Schizosaccharomyces pombe: one gene and its partners. The gene in region 2 interacts genetically with the main gene of each other region. Each region holds a gene or a part of one and is shown on either strand. Other genes may lie near its edges.

The links.
Region 1: mutations in wwm3 (region 2) and SPOM_SPBC1604.03C together harm fitness more than expected from each alone (negative genetic interaction), as found in Schizosaccharomyces pombe (one large-scale study listed by BioGRID).
Region 3: mutations in wwm3 (region 2) and nud3 together harm fitness more than expected from each alone (negative genetic interaction), as found in Schizosaccharomyces pombe (one large-scale study listed by BioGRID).

What each region holds. Positions count from the first base shown.
Region 1 is NC_003423.3:3,925,215-3,928,908, reverse strand, and holds SPOM_SPBC1604.03C (uncharacterized protein), read right to left. Parts: upstream 1,940-3,694; 5' UTR 1,896-1,939; coding exon 903-1,895; 3' UTR 810-902; downstream 1-809. Other genes in the region: PPR repeat-containing protein Ppr1, read right to left, coding at 1-486; SPOM_SPBC1604.04 (thiamine pyrophosphate transporter), read left to right, coding at 3,599-3,690.
Region 2 is NC_003423.3:200,321-204,127, forward strand, and holds wwm3 (protein wwm3), read left to right. Parts: upstream 1-1,960; 5' UTR 1,961-2,215; coding exon 2,216-2,647; 3' UTR 2,648-3,303; downstream 3,304-3,807.
Region 3 is NC_003423.3:3,229,558-3,232,889, reverse strand, and holds nud3 (nuclear movement protein nudc), read right to left. Parts: upstream 1,499-3,332; 5' UTR 1,370-1,498; coding exon 869-1,369; 3' UTR 810-868; downstream 1-809. Other genes in the region: yap18 (ENTH/VHS domain protein), read left to right, coding at 1-586; meiotic septin Spn7, read left to right, coding at 2,398-2,602, 2,647-2,728, 2,779-2,872, 3,024-3,332.

The sequences.
Region 1 (3,694 bases), 3.7 Mb from region 2:
AAGAAAAACTCGGCAAAGTTCAGCTGGCAACTTTGGACATAGCTGACTCAAAATAATAAATGTCTTTTTAATCCTCAAAGGTTGGCATAATTTCTCATAAGCAGAACAAGCTATTATGCAACAGTCGATGAAATCCTGATTGCGTATCCAGGATTCTTCATACTTCCATAAATTTTTTCGAAACAAGCTTACGGCTTCCCTGTACTTTTTACGAGAAAATGACTTTTTCATGCTGGTATTAAGGCTATTAAGCAATGAAGCCGACATGTGCGACGATTGCTTTGGCATAGATTTTAAAGAAAATGAAGGGAAGAACTTATCTTCGGGGGCCTGAAACTTTGAAATCATCGAAACATTATTTTTGGCAGCAGTACTTGAATGCCTTAACATAGGAAATTGTGTCAAGCAACTGAAAACTCTTTGATAAGACAGCCCATTATGATTAAGAGTGACATGGAGGGCTACATAATGAGCCCTTTTCAGCATATGCAAAGAAACTAATGAAATAGCAGCTGCATAAACTACTAGAAATATTATATATAAATAAAAGGTAATAACCTATGGTTGGTAGATAACCGCTAGCTGAGCGTTAGACGAAGCAAAAAATATTGAGGGTACCAAATTTTGTCTGCAACCAGGCTAAAGAGAGGGGGGTTTTATGGGTTAACAAAAACTAAACTAAAACGATAAAATGCGATGATAAAAGCACGACACCGGCAATGTCTAGCTTCTCTGTGCTTTGTGAATAAAAGGAGTCAACACAACGAGAGCTGTTCGGGTTACTTCCCAACGAGGGCTTACAAATTTGATAGTGCATATAACGAGACATTTAGTAATATTCATTAAGTCTACTCAATTAACAAAAAAATGCTAAACAAATGTAATATAAACTTAAGTAAATGCTAACGGGGAGCTGGAGCGGCATTATACAAAGGACCGATAGCTGGCCCATTAGTAGAAGGATGATCGAATGCACGAAAGGTTTCATAAGTGCTGTTGAATGGCAGAGCAGCCAAGTGTTGCCAATTATCAGTAACTAAAGGAAAGGAGAAGAAAGAAGGGAGAGTCTGAAAAGAGACCAAAAATTGTGAAGCAAGACGAGAAATAAAAAAAGATCCAAAACTTTCAGTAAAATAGGCATCTATGTAGTCAACAGCAGAAGACGCCAGATACGCAGTATAATACTTTAGGAAATCTTTTTTCACCAAATGCTCAAAGGCAGACTTTAAAGTGTAGGTAGAGACGGAAAATGGATCAGGAATTGCATTTTTAAGAAGAGATTCTTCAATAATGTAGAGAAGCTCTTTAAGAGAAATACCCTCATCGTCAACTATGGTACAAAAAACACTAGGCAAGGTAGGGATTGGATTAATACTAGTATCCTCTGTTGTAAAACAAGCAGCAGTAGCAAAACAATCAATGAGAACCTCTTGAATATTAAGACTGAGACCAACGGCTAGATTAGCAAGTGGTGTACAACTATCGTAACACAGACCTTTGATATATTCAGGGTTGCGACTTAAAGTTTGCCAAACTAACTCATGGAGGTTGTAGCGTGCATCATGAACAAGCCTATCTCCATAGAATAGTACAAATGGTTCAATAAACTTTGGATGACCTATGTGAGTTTTGTATGTGGATACATCGATTTCGTATGTATCTAGACCTTTGTGTGTCTGCGGTACTAATAACGGAATGGCTTTGTCAAAAAAATCAACAAAATCGTCGTCTTTGTACTTTCCATACAAACATCCTAACAGTAAAAGAGGTACAGCGTTTATACGGTTCTTTTCATCAACTGGTCGAAATCGTGTGTGATTAGCACGAAACAAAGGAACAATTCTCTTCCTCCTAACTTCTATTGGCGTTTTAGGTGTCGAAAGAATGGCTCCCATTTTTGAGTCAAAAAATTTAAATCAACTATTTTTATGCTTTTTTCAGGCCTAGAGACGATCGTTAAATGCAGTTCATCTAACCCTATAGTGAAACACAACGAGCTAGGGGGTACAGAAGATAATAAGAGGAATTTATATGTAATTGGTAGAGGTATTTGATGGTTTATCATTTTCATGAATTGATAGATAGTTATATCAGTAATGTAAAGTCATTACTTAGAGCAATGGTTTAGCTAAAGACCATTCACCTTTGATAAACGTCAAGTCGAGTATGAATACATCTAAAGCCTTCTTCATTTTTTCTAGTAATTGAAGAAGCTTTTACGATAAATTTGTTTGATGTGCAATTAACATAAATCGCTTTAATTGTTTAAAAGTGCATGACAAGAAAGGAGTGTATGCGACAAGTGTTGAAACCTCGCACTCATAGTTGCATATATACAGAGAAACTAATATAAATAATAAAATTTTTATTTTTTAATTGCTTTTTTATAGTTTTTTTTTTATGGCGCTACCAAAAAATAGAGAGTAATGATTTAAACATTTTAGTTATCAGATGTCTACTGTAAATAAAACGTGGGAAGGAAGGGAAAATCTACGCATATTTGCTTTGTCAACAGAAGAGCTATAAGTGTTCCAAAAGTAAAAAATTAATAAATTTTCATTTCATTTCGTTGTGGTATTTGATGGATTACTTTTATACATCCTGCACATTACCATCTCAGCTGTCTTATGTTGTAATATGAACGTATTGATGTTGTATGGAATGCACTAAATTGAGAATGCCTAACGAACAGAATGGGGTAAACGAGAAACCAAAAGGCGATTGTTCTTGAAATTTGTAGCATGTTCTAACATTTTATCCGTACGGACACGAAATTGACCATACATTTATTATTAAAAAAATAACAGATTATAATATCTCAAAAAGTTATTTATATAGCAAAATAGCTATTTTATTGTGAAACAATTAAATTATGTAAGCGGAATCTTGCGTTTAAAAATCCATTTCGTTCCTCAAGACTGAAATATTAAGCGATAACATTCTTTTGAACATAAGAAAACAGAAGATGAAAGTAGCAGACATCAGTACTAACTAATTTAACAACTACATGTTCTTGTTTTTAGTCATATCCAGCTGTTGCGTACAAACTCTAGTAGTAATTTGTACCGACTATTGTATTCAATGATAGCACGAATACAAAGCAGGATTGACAAATTCTTTGAAGCTCAATAAATTACTTGAGTTATTTCAAAGTTGCTTTACTATGGCTTTAAGTGTTCAGTTAAAGGAAGGAAACTTTGGGATTTCCTTGCATGGCTTTTAAATAAATTGCAGATTTTTAAAAAGATCGTTTAACAGCCAAAGACTTTTTTTTACATAATTTCGTCCGTATACATTGATTTTTTTTTTAGTTTTACAACTGTGAACTACACTTGATCCGGCATCTTACATCCGGTAAGTTAATTAATCAATATTCTATATTAACTGAGATGTGTGCTCAAAAAGTCTAATCGGAAAAGCCGCAAACAGTATTTGTTCGTGTAATTCGGTGGGCGAAATTTTTGAACTCCCATTACACTTATACGTGAATACAAAATACCCGAGATTGTAGTTAAACCAACAGTTATAAGATTTAAACAAATCTTACGCCTCCGGCTTTGTAATAATTAATTGCCGATTGTAGAAACAAACACTATCGATGGGCCTTGCAAAGCAAAAGGACTCGCAAGAGTTTGCCCAACCTGTTTGGCATTACACTTTGGCTGGTGGCATTTCATCCGTAATTTGTCGGTAT
Region 2 (3,807 bases):
AAGTGCTAAAGGTGGGTGGGTGGATGGAGTAGTTAGTAGGAGGAGAAATGAACCTTAAGATATAGAAAGAAGTGGAGAAAATAAATTCGTTCTATAATGACTGGTCATCCAGGTAATTAAAGAGAGGGAGAAATTTTTGAGGTTGATTGTTTTCATCCCGCCCTTCCTATTAGCAATAAGGAAATTTGGTGTTGTTTATTTAACGAGATTTTTCGTGGGTTGATGGTATGTGGCTTCAGAATGGGATAATAACCTTGCATTGAAAGAGCAGGATATAAAGCATGCTTCAAAATATGTGTGCTATTAGCTATATTTTAAAAGACGTGTATTTTACCACAAATTTATTCTTCACATGTAATTTTCATACATTCACTTTTATTCTTATATAAACTAATGTCCCGTGGAATTTTCACTAAGCTACTACTATATTTATTCATAGAACGAGAAACCACCCTTTGTGGACATTTAGACTATTATTCTAACTTGATTCACGTGCCGTGTTGGTAAAAGCATAAGTTCAATTAAAAGAGCTTTTATCTCTAAAATAGAAGCAACAAATGCGATGCGAGTAGGAATGAAGTCAATTCTTAAAGGTAAAGCTTCTACCAAGATAAACTTACATATGAGTTAATAAATATTATGGTTAGGATACTCAAATTATAAGATAGCTTTTTGAGATTGTTTTTTGTTTGTAATATATTATTTTTTTTTTTTTTTCCTGTTTCGTTAGATCGTTATTTATTTTATTTTATTGTACTGTGTTTATTTTATTTTATTGAATAGTTCTTATGTGTGTGTTGTCTTTTTTAAATTTAATATTAAATGACATCTTTTTATTTTTTTATTTTTATTTTTCTTTAGCTTCACTTAAACCAATTATTCCTTTTAACTCATCGTCCATATTAACTATAATGTCTCCATACTATTTATGCTTCCTTAATTTCAAATTTCTCATTAACATTAATTTTACATCTACATCTACATTTATATATTTTTTTTTTGCAAACCTACGTAGAGTAACTTTCTCTTTTCCTTCGTTAAAACGATATCAATTTTAATACGAATTTACTCATTGTATTTCCATCTTTTCTCGTCTCCTCGCTCTAATCCTTTGTCGCTTTGATTTATTTGATTGCACTTACTCCATTGAAAACTCTTGATTCCCCGAACCCCCACATCCATCCAGTCCTTGAGAGATGCAAGACAAGAGAGGTTCATGGACCCAAGTGGGGTCGATTTTTTTTGGAGTGAGTTCCTTTTGATATCAATTGACCATGCTAAAAGCTTGACAAAAACAAGTATTTATCCAAGTGAGAACTAATTCACTAAGTAGATAATTTTTTGTTAAAGTTAGTTTTATGAAACGTACGTTTACTATTTACTCAAAAAAATTGAACCGAGATATCGGAGTCAATGCTATTCGCGATTCAAAAGAAAGATCAAGTGTTAACAGGAGCTTGAGTCGAATTTTCATACACTCATATACCCAAAGAAACACATTAATAAACAAACACCTAACTTGGCGTTTGTTTTCAAATACTAAACGAGCGCTGACGTCAATGGCTGATCGATCTATAGACTAGCGAAAATAGCAATAATTTGTACAATTGGAAGATCATAAGTATACATGGGTTTGAGCTTTTAGCGTGCACATTTTCGTATCAATTTCTTTTCTGAATGTAACTAAAAGACACTACAGATATTGTAGTAAATTCATCTTCCAATTCACTGCTTTGCTGTTAGGATATCGGGTACACAATCGCAAAATAGATTGCGGCAGCTTTCGGCCCCGCTCATATGTTTTCTATTCCGATGGAAGAAAAAGAGTTCAAATCGCACTCGCTTCCACACTACAACTACGCAATAACTCATCATTTCCCCACAAAAGTGACGTATTGTCCGTCGGCTATGTCCTAATGCAAAGCTTTATTTATTTGCGAGTTTTCCTCACCTTTTCGTCAATCTAATTTCAATCAATCATTTTTTTTACTTGCTTCATTTTCAAAGCATTCGTTATTCTAATCTTTTCTTCATTCTTACTATAACGAGATCATAAATTCTTTCTTGTTATACATACCGTTTCTACTTCGCTGCTAATTCTTTTTTTCTTTTGACATTTGTGCCTGTCTATTAATAATTCTTAACAGACATACTCTACTTCTCACTACTTCTTTTTTTCTAAGTTACAGTTTCTCATTAATTACTTTATCGAAAGATGTCTGTTTATCAAACTTACAAGGGCTTGCCAGCTGGTTGGGTCGCCCAATGGGATCCAACTTATCAAGCTTACTTTTACATTAATGAAACGTTTGAAGGTGCTCAACCACAGTGGGAGCCTCCTATTCCAGGCTTGCATATTCCTCCTCCTCCCGGTACCACTACCGTCGTCTATCAAAAGGACGTGCCTCGCTCTTCTGACGGCTCACGGTCTATGACGGCTGGATTAGGAGGTTTCATGGTTGGAGCTTTAGCCGGCAGTGTTCTTCGTGGTCACCGTGCTTACTACGCCCCTCCTCCTCCCAGAGGCCCTTTGTTTGGTCCAAGAATCGGTGGTGGCCATCATGGCCCACTTCATGGTCCTCACGGTGGTTTCGGCGGCCGCGGTGGTGGACGCATGGGTGGACGTGGTGGACGTGGCCGCAGATGAAAAGCGTTGATTTTTATTTAAATTTGGTTCCGATTTCGTCCTACATACTATGGTCGTTGATTATGGAATCGCTCTTTTTTTTTGAGAACATCACTTTCTCCTTTGAATAGAATCACCAAATTCACGTATACGACTCTTTCGAAATTGTTAAATGGAAAACACGATATCCAGTGAAGTTCTTTTTATTCCCTTGAAATTTCATACTATTTTTGCTAATCGTTCTAAAATTGTTATATTCTGTTAGTCGTTCTTTGACCTAATTTCTTGTTTACTTATATTAATTTTGTTATCATCTGATCTTTACTTGTTTCAAGCTTCCTTATTTATTGTACCATTGCATTCTTTATTGGGATTTCGAGGAAAACGGTCTAATTTATAAAATTTCTGTTTAATACCAAAGAAGTAAGGAGCATATATTATAATGGGTGTGAATATCGACGGAGTTGGTTGTCGATGGAATCATTTTTTTGGCATTTATCACTTCGACGTGTATTTACTTATTTATTTATATTTTTTTTTGGTTAATTGTAAAAAATTGGGTGAAGCACAATTTTTGAAACTTTTAAAAAATCAATGGTTGTTTTTTCAGACGTTAAATTAGTTTATTATGCATGATTTAAAATAGTCAATTATATATCTTTCATTTATTATTATCATTGTTTTTTCATTACTAGTTGTCCTTTTTTTTTGGGTATTTTAGTTGAATAGTTTATAGTGGTGTATTACTGACTATATAATTGGCAAACTCAGATATTTGTTTGGTTTTGGATTAAATGCACAATTCCGAAAAAATTAAGGCAGAAAGAAAAAAAATTTTTTTTACACTTATGGGATGTCATACCACTATTTTAAAAGACAAACAGATATCATTTGAATCGTTTAAAACCTGTATTTATCAAGCTGTTTAAAATAAGAGAAATATAACTTGGCTCTTGGATACACATAATGAAATAAGAAAAGTTAATATATTTCAAAATTAAGAAATATTATCTACGGTACAACATTTATTTGTTCATATTACGATTATTCAGTAAGGATACGTAAATTTGTACCTGGCAATTATCAAATGAATGTCGAGGGTTTTCATAGCAATGCAAAACCGTTTGTTTTTAAGCAAAGCCGGCGATTAAAAAGGGTAATAAGAGCAATTTTCCTTTTTC
Region 3 (3,332 bases), 3.0 Mb from region 2:
ACCAATCCCCCCTCAATTACAGCAAGTTCAACTCTTGTCCCAGATGGCTGGAAATCAGATGGCAAACATACAATATACAATGAATGGGATGCAACAAACTGGAGCTTCTCCAAACACTGCTTTGAATATTTCCCAAGTTAACATGTATGCTCAAAATAATCCTGTAAATCCTTCAACAACCAATCCTTTTCAAAACTTTTTAAGGCAACCCTCTTATCAAGGAATGCAGTTTGAGCAGCAACAACCGACTACCATACCGTTACAGCCAAATATTCCTGTATTGAATCAGCAGTATCCTGTTATGATTCCTGCCATGGAAGACTCAAGGGGTCCGCTACCGTCCCCTGCTCACATTATGTATCCTGAAGGGTCTCCTGGATTTATTCAACATTCTCCTAATGGGTTCACGCATGGCCATTCGGCTTCCCCAGTTAATATTGGACAAAAGTTGGATGTTCCTGAAAGGCCGATGTCTACACCGTACACCGCATCTAAAAACCCCTTTTCAACGAGGGAATTGGCTGAACCAACTGATTTAGCGAGAAATTCAATTTCGACGGAGTCTAAAAATCCGTTCCGAAGTTAGGTTTGTTTTTGTTGTCAATGCACCCATCATGTCGTTGTATATAATCATGCATAAGTTATTGCTGGCTAGCTAATGACCCATTTATTAATATTATTATACTAACTCGCTCTTTATCCAAGACTTTCTCGATTTATTTCTAGTTTAAAAGAATGCCGATTTGCTGTTTATACCTTCTTTGTACTATCAGTTTTACAAATACCAGAAATTTCTACATTTTTATCAATAGAGCTTAGAAAGTTTTGTAACAATTGTAATTATACATATATAAAATCATGAAACTATTCAAATCTGGTCTCTAACATTTGAAAAATCTAGTTCAGGATGTTGTTTCATGAAATTTTGCAGTACATCTTTTCGTTTTTGTTCATCGGTACGCTTTTGGCTTTGCTCCAACATCATTTTTTCAACTGTAGCTCTTGTTTCTTCATCTAGATCAGATAATTTTGAATTTTCGGGCTCAATTGAGCCTATATCGATTGAGGGATGCCCTTTTATAACACACGACCACCATTCCATTTTATTGGATTTCTCGAGATGGATAACAAGCCTTTCTTGTTCTTCGACAGTCCAGGTGCTTTCATCTAAATTGATCTGTTTTTCGAGTGGACCACTGAGAAGGACTTTTCGTTCTGGGACGTTGATTTGAATTTTGAGATCGTGATTTGACATATCTACCTGGAGGGATTTCGCTCTTGTCCCTTTGGGTACATGGATGACAATATCAACATCGGCTATTGTTTGATCCCACTCGTACTCGGCCTCTTCGAGTTTTACTTGATGCATTCTTAAACCTGCAGCTCAACTCACGCTTTTCGTAATCGGTTGATTACTTTGTAATTTTATTAAATATGTGCTCGTTTTTGGCTAAGCAAATCAAATTCTTTTACGAGCCTAAAAAATGAAGCTAGATTTGATTAATGTATATTTAATTACCGACTTCATAAACCGGAATTTCAAGATTACGAGTTTGTACGCTACGTTAAAGAGCTAACGTTTGATGGTTTGCGGTGCACACAGTGGAGAGTCGTGCAAACTCGCAGGCTGTAACTTTTACTTGTGTTCTGTTACGTTTATTTTACTAACATTCGATTTTTATACAATACTCTAGAGTTAAAGATTTCACTTTTTAAAAAGTAGAATTTTGTTGCGCTAAAAAAAAACTTCAATTTTTGAGGAAGGTGTAACTCAAGTTATGTATTAGGCTTTGCAAATAAACCGAGTTTTAGGAACAATTCAATTTATTATGAAATTTGCTCAAAGCCGTTTATATGGGCTATGGCGCAAATCACAACAAGCATATCATAACATTAAAACATTAACGAACATCGTTATGTAAAATCTACCAGCATCATTATGTTTACGAAGTTATATGTAGCAACGAAAGGTACAACTGTTGCAATCATTCAAAATTTGTGTGGTAGATGCAAAATAAGCATGGGAATTGGGTTTTCATGATTATGATTCCTTTAACAATTGCTGTCGCTTAAATAAACTCGAAAGTCTCATGAATTAATGCAAAATATCAGCGCCTTATTTTAACTCAGTAAATGAACAGAGGGCTCGTTAAAGGTCAAAGGTTAAATTACTTAAATTTTGGACAATGCGAAGATGATTAAGGCACAAAATGATTTAGAGAAGAATACTGGAAGAAAAAATATAAACTATATTTAAAAGTACTATTGAAAAGTTTTGTATAAAGAAATCTTCTGGATTTTCCTTGTTTGCGAAATGGATATACTGCCAACGTATCGGTGCCTTTATTAAGCAGTAAACAAACAAACCCAAGTTCTTCCAACAGCAAACACTTCAAGATGAATAAAGGCCCAAGACATCGTCCAAAATTCTTATCAAAAAAGGGAAAAAAGCTTCGCATAATGGTAGCAGGATCTAGCTACACCAGTTACCAAGCTTGTATCAATAGCTTGTGCAGTAAACAAATACTGGAAGCTGAAACAGAGATAGATCCGCTAAAAGCTCATATTGATAGAATACTGGAAATAAGGGAATTTAATGCTGGTGAGTTATTACGGTTTTAATTTTCGTGTGCTAACTGTAATTAGATATTTTAGAAGATGAGTTCCATGTTGACCTTACGGTCATTGAAGTAAATGGTTTCGGAGATAAAATTGATAATTCAGCTAGGTAATACCAAAAGGTATTTTTCTAAATTAAAGCTAATTTCAATGCATTAGTTTCGAGGTAGTTACTCATTATTTGGAAAGCCAATTCGATCAAGCCTTGATAGAAGAATCTAAAATCAAAAGAAATTCTAAATTTACTGATACGGTACGAAATCTGCAAACAAAGTTTTTCCGTCCTTAACTATTTCAATCAAGTTACTTCCATTACTTGATTTAATGTTGTTAAGTAGAAAACCAAGAGAACACATTGGTTTAAGAATGAGGAATGAAAAAAAAGTTTTCTAACGATATTTTAGCGCGTTGATGCCCTACTTTATTTTATTGCACCCCGTGGACATTGCCTGTCTGAGTTTGATTTGGAAGCCATGAAACGGTTTTCAAAGCGCGTAAACGTAATTCCTGTCATTGGAAACTCCAACGCTTTTACTGAAGAAGAATTAAAGAACTTCAAAGATGTGATAATGAAGGATTTGAAACAATGTAACATAAAGGTATTTGACTTTCCTTGGGATCCTGAGGAGGATGAAGACGAAGTCATTGAGGATAACAAACGACTTTGGGAAAGTGTTCCATTCGCTGTATCTGGAGGGGTATCAGAGGAAGAT